2 linked regions of the Caenorhabditis elegans genome follow. The protein of the gene in region 1 purifies or fractionates together with the protein of each later gene. This does not show direct contact. Each region holds a gene or a part of one and is shown on either strand. Other genes may lie near its edges. The genes, in order: F56A8.9 and cht-3.

Region 1 (4,113 bases):
TCCTACCTCATTGCTGGCCCCAATCACAGCACTTCCAGGCATTGGAATTTGGCTTCCAATTCTCACTTTTCTCCAATATTGTGCAGTATTCACAAATGCTTTTATTGGTAAGTTACCGTAGTTCAAAATTCCAAAAACTTATGATTAACATCAGTTGCCTTCACTTCTGGATTCTGCTCTACATTTTTGGCCGATGGAGCTTATTGCACTGTTCAAAATCGACTTATCATTGTTATCGTTTTCCAGGTAAAAATCCATATTTCTCTTCCAAAACTTGTAGTAAAATAATTTCAGAATCTCGTATTTGGTCTCAAGTATCTATTATCCAGTGTTATTCCATCAATTCCTGCTTCAATAAAATTGGCGTTAAGGAAGGTATAATTCATTACATATTAATGGTAGATTACTCAAAAATTAATATTTCTAGAAACGCTACGTGGTTGCTCATATCGTTGAAAAAGGAGATGTTCCACACAGAACTCGAATAAAAAAACGAACGAGAATTGCAAAACTTGCATGGATCGCTTCAAATCAGAAAATGATAAAGAGTAATAGAAAGAAGGAGAAGTCGAATAAGAAACAGTTATTGGCTGAAGTTGAAGAAATTTGATTTTTGTTTGTTTTTTTTTTGGATTCAAAATCTGTTCATTTCTGTTTCTACATTGTTTTCTGTATCATAAACTACGGTGTTCTAAACAATTTTCAAATGATTTTAAAAGTTCCAAATTTTCGGCAATTTTTTTGCCGACGAATTCGGCAAATCGGCAAAATGCCGGTTTGCCGATTTGCCGGAAATTTTCAATTCCGGCAATATGCCGGTTCGCTCAAATAATTTGTTCACTTGTTTAAAGTTTCAAACTAATTTTGTTATTCTTAACAATTTTGAAAACGAAAAAGAATCGTAAAATAATCGTGATTCTCCTTTTTTCTCAAATTCCCTCCAAAACCAGAAGCCCCGCAGACATTTGAACCAATCAGCGTCTTCAATCTTTGCACACTCTATCTGATTGGTTCAAGAGAAGGCCGAGAAAATCGCTGATTGGTCTTGCAGTTCTCGTGTTGGAGGGAATTCAAATATGAGATTAAAGCGCGCAATCCGTTTGTCTATAGTTCATTTTAGTCTGTGAAGTCTGGAATCTGGAGAGATAGTGAGTCGGGGTCACTGTAGGAGTACTGTAGGATTACTGTAGTTTCTTTGAAAAAAAAATTTCAGAAAATTTTTGAAAATTTTGCAAAATGTATTCTTTTGGAAAAAGTTAGTTCTCTTAATATACGATTACCATTAGCTAGGATAAATCTTTGTACAGTTAACTCTCTTATTTGTACTGTATATTCTGTTTACACTGCCCCCTGTAGAGACGCAGAGATGGAAAGTGGTGATATGTATTGGGAAATGGAGAGTTGGAGTTTTCCTTTGCAGTTTTCTTATTGGAATTGTATTGAAATCTGAATAATACAGGTTATATTTGAATAAACATAAACGTTTATTTTATTTGAATTAATCTAATTTATTTTTGTAAATTTCAGTTTTACTGTCGCAGAATATATTATTCTAGTTCATTTTATTATAATAACTAAAATTATTAACGAATTCAAATTCTCGTTGTTTGAATGAAGAAGTTCTTATCCGTTTTCCTGCTAACCTAAATTCTCTCCATTTTTTTTGAAGGTCACAACCCAGAATGCGTCGTTCCTTCCAACTCGTCCTACTCCTCACGACAGTCGTCTCCTCGGTTCTCTCAAAAATCGATCATGTCAAGGAGAAAACAGGCGAAACGCATTCGGATCCAGCTAAATTGAAAACGAAAGAAGCGCCCGAGCATATTGATCACAAGAAATTATGTTAGTTTTTTGGTTTTTTTTTAATTCAATTTAAAAAAACGTTAGATTATTTCAGTCACCGAAAGCTTCAAACAACGGAGAATCGAGCATACGACCGCAATTGAGTCGATTAAAAAAATTGGAAAAGACAAGCGGAGATTGTTTTTGGAAGATGTAAGAGTATTATTAAATGTGACCAAATTTATCTCAATGTGCTTCAGGTTTTGAAAAATGTGCAAAACCTGCTGAAAGAGTCGCGAGAAGCTTTGGAACGGACCGCCCATCGATCGGATTCGCCGTTCCCACACGGTAGTGAGCTGCTCAAGGATGCACTTTCCAAGGTGAGTTTTTGAAACTTATATTACCCAGACGTGAAATTTGCCAATTTTGGCGCCAAAAGTACGGTAGCCGGTCTCGAAACGACCAATTTTTGCCAAAAATTGTGTGCTCCTTTAAAAGGAGCTTTTATCAATTTTTAACAAACCGTGAGAAAAACAAGGAAAAATCGATGAAAATTTTCTTTGCTACAAAATTTTGAGATTACAGCACTCTTTAAAGGCGCACACTTGTTTAGAATTTAACAAAAAATTTCGTGTCGAGACCTGCCACCGTACTTTTGCCTAATGATTTTTGAATTGAAATTTTTTAGTTGGAATGATGTTGGAAATATTTTTGAAGTTGAAAAAAATGGTTTTGATTTTTTTTTTTTTTTGAAAAAATACTACTTCCTAACGAGACCCAAGTATTGGGGTGGAGTTTTTCGTTGAAGCGCGATTGAACTTCAATTTGAAAAGACACATTTTCTCACAAATATGATACATTTTACAGCTCCACGAGAACATCGCCTTCTTCACAGACCTCTCACTAGCGTTCTCGAAATTTTTCGAAACGAAAATCCAAAAGGATCGGAAATTGAAGACTTTGATCGTCTGGGCCTACAATTATTCTATCAAAACTGGCATTTTTGATGAGGAAACTGAAAAGAAAGTGCAACTAATGGCTCAACAACACGAGTTTATTGAGAAAAATGAAAAGTATGAGAGTTCTTGGCTGGACCCGGTCTCGACACGACTTATAAGAGAAAAGGTGTGCGCCTTTAAAGAGTACTGTAATCTCAAACTTTTTTATCTGGGATTTTTTTTTAATCGATTTTCATAGTGTTTTCTTTCAATTCGTTGGAAATATAGTGTTTTAATATTAAATTTGAATTTGTTAATCAAAAAATTATGAAAATTCAGCTGAAACGAAAGTTAGGAACTACAGTACTCTTTAAAGGCGTACTACTCTTCGCAATTGAAACAAATTTGTCGTGTTGAGACCGTGATTTGGCTCAAAAAATGTGTTTTTTTTAAAGATTTTTCAATTCCTACGATAAGGATCGCGTTAAAGAAGATTTAGAAGCTGAGGAAATGAAAAGAAAAGAGAAAAAATCGAACAAAGCCGAGAAGAAGCAACCGAAAGGAGAGTTATAATTTTTTTTTCTTCAATTTTTGTGTTTTTTTTTCCTGTTTATAACCGAACTCGTCAAATTTGGCCATAATATTTTGATTTTATTTGTCATATATTTAGTTATTTAGGTTGAGTACAATTCGATTTTCAAGGTGCTATTTAATAATAATTATAAAGATGTTTTTTTTTTTCAATTCAGTTTTTAAAATATGGTTTTCAACCCATAGTTTATATCAACTATCAAAATATTCCATTATTTTTACTTACAAAACTGCAATTTGGAAAATTAATTTGGGCCCTATTGGGTTTATTTGTTTCAAAACCAATTCATAAATTTGAACTTCCCTCCAAAATGCCACAACGACGCTCCGAAATTCCGCATACGCATGTTGTTTATCGTAAATTCACACAAATTAGTTTGCTGATTTTTCTTCCTATTTTCTTTTTTTTCCCCAAGTTCAGAGGTTATACATTTTATTCAAAGCTTTCTCCAGATTTATTTTAATATTTTATCGTCTCTTCTTTCACATGCACACTTTTACGTTACCATCCCAACAATGCCGCGTGTCGAAAAATTTTTTTTCGCAATTTTTTAAATTTCTAGGGAATTTCTCTGTGTGAAACTACAATGTCATCGCATAAATATAGTCTGACGGAGCTCAAAAACTTGCAAGAAGATGATGAGTTGGATTTATCGGCAAGCGGAATTCAAGAATTCCCCAATGCAATCGTCCAACTGCCACGGTTGACGAAATTGGATCTGAGCTCAAATGCAATCACTTTCTTGCCGGAATCTTTCTGCAAGATGACTAAGCTTATTCGGTAAGAGTTTTAAGCTGAAAA
Region 2 (7,832 bases), on another chromosome or scaffold:
TATATTTTGATTTACTCGACGTGTGAATTTTTTTGTAATTTTTTGTATTTTGATTTACTCGACGTGTGAATTTTAAATTTTGGAAAAAAGGAGGGGGGCACGTTCACGACAATAAAATGGTTTTTTCTCACAAATTATAATTTTGTTATGGCTTCCCTCTACCATTCACTTCTAATGAAAGAAAAATCTCTTTATATTATATTTTTTGATTTTGTTAAAGCCTTTAACAAAGTTTCACACAGTCTCTTAGGAAAACTTGCCAAGTTCGGTCTTGACTAGCTTGTTTCTGGTTCAAGGAATTCCTCGATCACAGAATATTCACCGTCAAAATCAACAAATTTGTTAATTTGTCCAAGTTAAATGAACTTCCTCTAGCACCAACTAAGTCTACATTATTATCACTGGGAACTTTGAACAAAAACCATTCATATTTTGTAAATGGTGTCCCAATTCCCCCTTCCCCGCTTTTTCCCTTTTTTTTCGTAAAAAAAAATTTGGTCGTGTGGGAGAGTTGAACTCATCCATTATCGATATCAAACGAAATAAAATAATTATTTATCAAAATTGTGAAGTTTCAGAAATTAACGACACTTATGGGAACTATAAACAGATTTCAGAATTGGGAATGATCCACGCCCACAGATTCCAGTATAGTCATCTCCATTTACATTCAATGCAATACCGCCGAGCTGTTCACGTTGGATGTAACCAATCTGAAAATTTGAATACTTGAATAAAAAATCCTAGAAATTTGATAGAATTTCCAGAATTTCTAGAAAAATTATTATATGTACTGTATTTGTAGAGATTTCAGCTATAATATAATGTGGCTTTTGTTAAACTTTTAATAATACAACATGACAGAATATCATAATGGAACCTTTCAAAAGATTTTAGACTTACGATTAGCAAATTTTTCCGTCAAATTGTTGGAAAATTATCAGATTTTCAAAAACAATCACATTTTGAGAAATTTTGAAAAAAATTACTGTTTCAAAAAGTTTACAAAAAATTTTTGAAAATTTTTGATTATTGTACATCCATTATTCCAAATTTTGGAAGTTTATCTTATTAAATTTTGTCGGTAAAGGCACATTAAAAGCCGATAGGTAACCAAAAATCATCAAAATTGGTTACCTATCGGCTTCAAATGTACTGTAATAAACGAAATTAAATGATATAGACTACCAAAATATGCAATAAAGAACAATAATTCAAAAAAAGGGCAACTTCGGACCGCGATATGGAAAAGTGGGTAAAAACGAGATTTTACCTAATAGCAGTGTAACTTTTTCAAATTTTGAACTGCCACAAAAAATTTTTGATATTATTTTTTGAGAAGTTTCATTACGAAATTTGTTCTTTTGAGCCCATGTTGAGTCTATTCAAAATCGTCCGAACCGTTAGTCCCCCTTTAAACAAAACAGTAATTTATTCTACTTTCGTGAAAATGTGAAACTTTATTTTTTTAAGTGGGGTCTCGCCAGATCTCAAAATCAGTCATCACGGGAGCTATAAATGCCAAAAAAGAAACTTACTTTGTATCTAAAATCTTCAATCATTGGCATGTTGATAGTTCCATTTTCATGTTTGGTCATTCCTGTCAATGTTTCATAATCATGTTCGTAGACAGCTCTATTCCCAGCAGTTACACAATTAACTCCTTGTGTCATTTTCTTCTTCTCCCCCACTTTCTTTCCAGTCTGCCAACCAAATGGCGAGAGTTCCAAAACTAGCTTATCCGGTTTCAGTCCCACATTCTTCCAAATATTCACAAATTTCTCAGTTGACGGGAACTCAGGCTTTGTGTGATTGAAGAAGAATGGAAGATCAACGGAATGTTTATCAGTCATTCTTAATGCAATGTGAGACAGACGATTCAATAGAGATACACTGTAGTACGTTGACGGCTTTTGTGTGTAATGGGAAAATCTGAAATAATGGGATATATAGCTTTTTAAAAACCTCTATGAAAAGGTTGCCTTGCTGAAAGTGTCCTGTTACACCCATTGGAAGCCTTGCCGCTTTCAAACTTCTGTGCCAATTTTTTGACGAATGTGTTGAAGTAAATCTGAATAGATTCATAGGTAATTTATTCTTAAACCTAATAAATTACATGGTTTCCTCTGCGAATCACTTTTTCACAATCCAATTGTACTCCAGAAAATTTGTACTTTTCCATAATATTCATCACGTTGCCAATTGCAAATGTCATGTTGTCTACAATATGGAAAAATTGGTTATGGGCTTAATTTCGAAGTTAACAAAAATCAAATGCTTTTCAATAAAAATCATGTACGAGTTAACTTTTGGATTTTCAGACACCCAACCGCATCAAGATTTTTCAGATTTTGTTTCATTTTCAAAAACTTCAGAATCCTCGGCCACCTTAAAATCTCTCAAAGTCGTAATAGGTTTGCAAAAAATAAAAAAAATCGAATATTGGAAGTATGCACTGAAAAAGCTTTCAGGAATATGTTTAAGAGCTTTTCTTCCAGGTAACATGATCTTAATTTGTAATTTACAAATTGTAAAATGAAACTCACCACCAAGAATTGAATTCAAATATTTCTCAGAATCACCGCATGATAGTGAAAGCACCATTCCACATTTAACCATTTTTGACCTCAATGATGTCTAAAACTCATTATAGACTACAAGGCAGGTGCGAAAACTTACCAAATTCTTAACAACTTGTTCTTGTTGAACATCATTGAAATTCACATTTCCACCTAAAGTGAGTGTTGCCTGCTCAACGACAACTTCCGTGCAACGCTCGTATGGGACAATGTCCGTTTTGAAAACAGCTGAAAAATATTAAATTTTTCAAAAATAAAATTTTCTGTTTCAAATTTCACACATCAGAAAATCCAAAAAAAAGCTTACGAGTGCTCCTCTTCAATTCAAAATTGCAGCTAACCACGAAATCGTGTTGTTCACACTTTTTGAAGTCATGCTGTTTCAGGCAAGTCTGACAAACTTGAGCACGAGAAAGAGCATTTAAAATGGGGAATGCAGTACGGTTATCACAAACTGCACTCGGATCGTCCTGGTGCATGTTGTGAAGAGCAAGTCCTCCAACACCTTCCATTGATGCCCATACTGCTTTGATGTGAGCACTACGAGTATTCTCATATGCTACCATTTGATCGTATCGTCTGAAGTTATTGCATTTTGTGATAATTCACATTTTGGTCCTGGTAGTAACTTGAACCACTGGAAATTGACTTGCTAAATCATTTTCCGTATTTATACTTAAATATAAATTTAAAAATATTATTTTGTTAAATTGAGATAGAAATACGAAACTAATTTCCAGTTTTTCTCATGTCATTAAATTGGCTTAAACTTTTTCGCTTTGTACACTGGGGAAGTTTATTTGAAATAATTTAGAATAAAATTCTCAAAGGGCTCAGTTCACCATAAATCCCAAAATATTACTTACCTCAAATATGGTACTTCAGCTCCATCAACCCAATGAGTGACACCAGTTCCAGACTTCAGGCTTTCACAGATCTCCTGCTGACTATGAATATCTCCTTTTTTCGATCTCAACATTGACACAAAAGCTGATTGTCCAAATGGAGTTGCAGCTGAGCTTCTCACATCAGCAAGTGATTGCATGGATAAAGTGGATGCACTCAGAGACAATACAAGTTTTGAAGGGAGTACACGTTTTTCGACCCAGTGAGAGAGCAACGATTCCCAACTCATTTTTTGATTAGTCATTGATGAAGTGGCACGAAGAGGTGAAGGATGTCCTGTGAATGGAAGAGAATCCGAGTGAAGACGATGAGAGTGAAGGACAATTAGTGATGCAGTTCTAAAATTTTTGAATTAAAATAAATATTATATTAAAGTAAACCAACTTGTTCAAATGCTCATAATCATAAAAGTCCGAATAAGCGCTCTGTTGTGAAGTTGCCACAACGATCTCCACCATCTTTGCTGTGTCCGCTGCGACGATATCATTGATAAATGATTTCAAATTCTTCTTATCAAAATCGCTGACCATTGGTTGAGAAGTCCACGAAATCTCAAGCCCATCTGCGTTTGTTGAATTGATTGCTTTAACAAGACCTTCAGCAAGTTCTTTTCTATGAAAATCGTTTCCAAGGAGGAATTGCCATATTGTTGAGGCTTGTTTTGATCCGACAGAAAGAATAAGCTGAAATAGTTTTCCTTTGAAATCTGAAAACGGTTTCAAAGAGTTCTTACCCTCGGTGCCACTTCAACTATTTTGCTTCTCCAATCATCAATTTTCTTCACCAGATCTTCGGCTTTATCCTCTTCAATCATTTTGTCGGAGAGATCAAGGGCGAAGTATGGAACAACAATATGACTACAGTAGTCAGATTTCAGATTATCAATTGGGAATGTTTCCTCAACCTCCTCCGGATCCAAATAGCAGAGTCTTGTACATTTGGCTGGATTCGCAGGAATAGTATTACGAATTAGTTCCATGACAAGACGATGAGCTGGCAACGGATCTGTACCACAGTCTCCACGTGGATCATCGAAGAGGGCGTGGCTAATACCAATTCCAGCAAACTTTTGACCCAATATCCATTTCATCTGGAATTCAATAGGTTTCATGAGCTAAAGCATAAGTTGCAACGACCTTTTCTCCCATAGCCTTAATTGTTGGTAGATTAACACTCATCCACGTCTGACGGTACACGGTAATTTCATTCATAGTCTGCCAATCATAAATGACAGCTCCTCTAGCTCTACAAGCATCTTGATAAGAAACTCGTTTTCCATTATTCTCAGCATATTGTCCATGAGAGATTTTTAATGGATCTTGAGTCTCTTTGATTTCAAATTTCCATCCTCCAGCAGTCAGTCCAACTACGATACGTGAAGGGAGAATTCCTTCTTTTGACAACCTTAAATTTTTATTGTTACGACAATAGGTGTTTTATACACAAAACGAGTAAAAACCTTCGTTATTAAAAATGTTTTAGAATTTTAAACATTTTTTGAAAATTTTTTGCAGAATTTTGTAACTTTCTTTCAACATTTTGAAAGCATCGGATGGTAAAAAAAATAAATGAAAAGATAATAATAACATAAGAAACAGTAAAATTAAAAAAAAAACATTTTCCAAAATTATGAATTGCAAAAAATGAGGAAGTGGCTATGTTTGACAATAACTTAAACACAAATCAAAGTGAAAAAGTTTTACTGTGATATTTGGAATTTTTCAAAAGACAGACTTTGAAAATTCCGTATTGGATCTAATTCACCTATATATTTTGACTTACTCTTCGACAGTTCCTTGAATTGTTTCCTCAAACGGAATTGATCCATTATAGAAAAGTGGATTTATGTGTGTGACTCTGGCAAGTTCCTCGTTTGACTAAAAATAACTCCAGTCAACCATTTTTTAAACTGAAAATACTTACTGGCAATTCTCCCATATCCAAATAGATATACTCAACGAGATCATTGATTTCTTGAAGTCGTCTTAATGCATCAAATGCAAAAACTCTTCTTCCTGTGACTCCAAATGTTAACGACATCTTTTTGTCTTTTGAAATCGTTTCAAGAAAACTCGTTGAGGCTCGATACTCAAGGTGAATGCCGTTGAAAGTTACAAATAAACCATCGAATCTTCTGGAAAATAAATTTTAGTTTTGATAAAGCTGTGATGACCAATTTCCCAAAATTCTCAAACTCACTTGCTCTTCACATGAGATCGGAGCCCGTTTGCAACCTTCACCGATGTAGCCGCGTCTTCAAACGGTTTTGTTCTAACAACTCCCATCAAGAGTTTGGCATTTGGATGATATTTTCTCAATCTCATGAAAGTTCGAATATTGTCAATATCATATCCAGACTCAACATCGGATACACTGTACTGTGGATATCCAGTGTCTCGATCAATTGGAATACTTCCATACACTAAATGGGTGCACGTTGTGATGTTTTGAAGAAGATTTGGGGAGAGACGAGTTTTCTGCAATTTGGAGCCTTTTACAATTATCAAAACTATTAAACCAATATTTAGTAAAAAATATTTTTTAATTGAAACTCTGATTGACATTGCTTGTTTGATAACATTTATGGCTGCTTACCGGTGGAGGATTGACAAAACAATAATGAACAGGAGCATCTTCATCACTTATCTCACAGTATATGCCTACTACAAGTATTGACAGCCAAATGAGGGTTTTTATACCCATCTCTAAAAAGAAGAAAGATTATAAAAACACAATAAGAAGGTGAAAAACTCTGAGGAAAAATGACAGAAGCATGCTGATTCTATCTCTTTTATATACGATTTTTCGTGCCCAGATTCAACCAGAAAAAAGAGCTGACCTGCAGATAAAAAAAGCGATTCGGGAATGATAAAGTGGGCGGAAGATCCAAAAGCCTCGCATACCACATGTTATTGGTTTTTAGGTGATTGATTTGAAATTTCGTCGCTGAAACCGAGATTTGACTGGTTGTTGGCTCTCTGGGAAACAATTGCATGATGTAAGAAAATGTTTTATTTTTAAATAGAGATACGGATGCTTGTAGAAAGTTTTGTAGTTTTTTTAAATTTAAAGTTTGGTATCCATAAACTTCACGTTAAATCAGAATTAGAGAATAAATTCCAAATCAATTGACATATTTCCAACTTCTCAAGGTTTTTCGAGCCTGCAGTTGAAGAAAAACTGTCTTTGTTTTGAAATTTTAAAACATTTTAGCCTTCAAAGGTTAGAAATAATTGCTCCATTTTGGGTGCAACGGTAAATTTGATCACCTCACACCCCTGACAGGTACATTTCCACAAGATATCAAGGAATTTTACAGTTACGAAATTGTCTTTCACTTTTTTGTCAAAACCATTTCTAACTCTCCCTCGGTTTTCAATAAGATCTCAATGTTTCATAACCACCCACTTTTTCCCTTAACCTTCCGTTTTCAATTTTGATCTCCCTGGGGACCAATATTTCAGTATTCCGTATGTTGACAAACCCTTTTCCCTTCTTTTCTCCTGACAAGAAACACTTTTGTCCTCGTCCTTCTTGTAGTTGTCGCCGGCGTTTTTACTTTTTCTCGGGTGGGGATAGTGTCCCTAGACAGAAAATAATTCGTCATTTTTGCCGCCTCACAAGTTAGTTTTCTAACTGTCACACAAATCCTACAATATTTCATTTATTTGGGATATTGTTTTGAATAAGGCGACAAAGCAAAAAGATCCATTGGGAGTTTAACCTGATTTATAAAAGACAGTCGCCAAAAATTATTCGAAAGTTTTGATCTCAAGATGGGTAGATAAATTTTTGAAGTCCTACTGGGAGGCACCGCGGTGGTTTTGAAAATTTCAGAAGTTGTATCGACAAAAGCGGCACAGAGCATTTTTTAAAATAAAACTTTCCGTGATATTATCATAATTCTCGGAAATCTGAATGAGTGTTTTCATAAATATGAGCACTTTTTCGTTTCAGCAGAACTAAATTTTCATGTATTTCTCAATATCTCATATGATTTCATTTCTTTTCTTAATGTGACATGACATTACTGTCATCACCCAAACGAGTTATTTATGACGAGTTTGCAACATCTGCAGTTCTCACATAAATGAGTAAGGAATAGAGGGAAGAAACGGCTAATATGGGTTTTGAGGTTAAACATGTTGCCTTACAATCAATGATTTTTCTTCCGTTAATTTCAAGTATCAATTCACAATATGAATGTTTGTTTCAATATTGTTTTTTCTTGCACTTTTTTGCTCAACTTTGCTTTGTCAAATTTCACTTATTTTTGCCTGTTTCAACAAATCTTCAATTACGAATAAAAATACAAAGTTGTTTCGTTTTTAAAAAAGTTTTTTCGTT

Evidence for each region.
Region 2: the proteins of F56A8.9 (region 1) and cht-3 fractionate together in Caenorhabditis elegans (co-fractionation; one large-scale study listed by BioGRID). This does not show direct contact.

The regions. Positions count from the first base shown.
Region 1 is NC_003281.10:13,253,006-13,257,118, forward strand, and holds F56A8.9 (CAB39 protein), read left to right. Parts: upstream 1-1,669; 5' UTR 1,670-1,682; coding exon 1,683-1,842; intron 1,843-1,897; coding exon 1,898-1,995; intron 1,996-2,042; coding exon 2,043-2,162; intron 2,163-2,649; coding exon 2,650-2,855; intron 2,856-3,175; coding exon 3,176-3,293; 3' UTR 3,294-3,454; downstream 3,455-4,113. Other genes in the region: anoh-1 (Anoctamin), read left to right, coding at 39-107, 155-246, 295-375, 428-610; F56A8.3 (Disease resistance R13L4/SHOC-2-like LRR domain-containing protein), read left to right, coding at 3,899-4,092.
Region 2 is NC_003282.8:7,001,981-7,009,812, reverse strand, and holds cht-3 (Chitinase-like protein C25A8.4), read right to left. Parts: upstream 6,191-7,832; 5' UTR 6,189-6,190; coding exon 6,081-6,188; intron 5,963-6,080; coding exon 5,685-5,962; intron 5,620-5,684; coding exon 5,409-5,619; intron 5,363-5,408; coding exon 5,268-5,362; intron 4,890-5,267; coding exon 4,622-4,889; intron 4,576-4,621; coding exon 4,219-4,575; intron 4,169-4,218; coding exon 3,870-4,168; intron 3,824-3,869; coding exon 3,446-3,823; intron 3,159-3,445; coding exon 2,887-3,158; intron 2,808-2,886; coding exon 2,680-2,807; intron 2,638-2,679; coding exon 2,547-2,637; intron 2,221-2,546; coding exon 2,117-2,220; intron 2,072-2,116; coding exon 1,983-2,071; intron 1,933-1,982; coding exon 1,539-1,932; intron 1,055-1,538; exon of another isoform or gene 1,034-1,054; intron 714-1,033; coding exon 582-713; 3' UTR 545-581; downstream 1-544. UniProt on the Caenorhabditis elegans protein: Putative chitinase.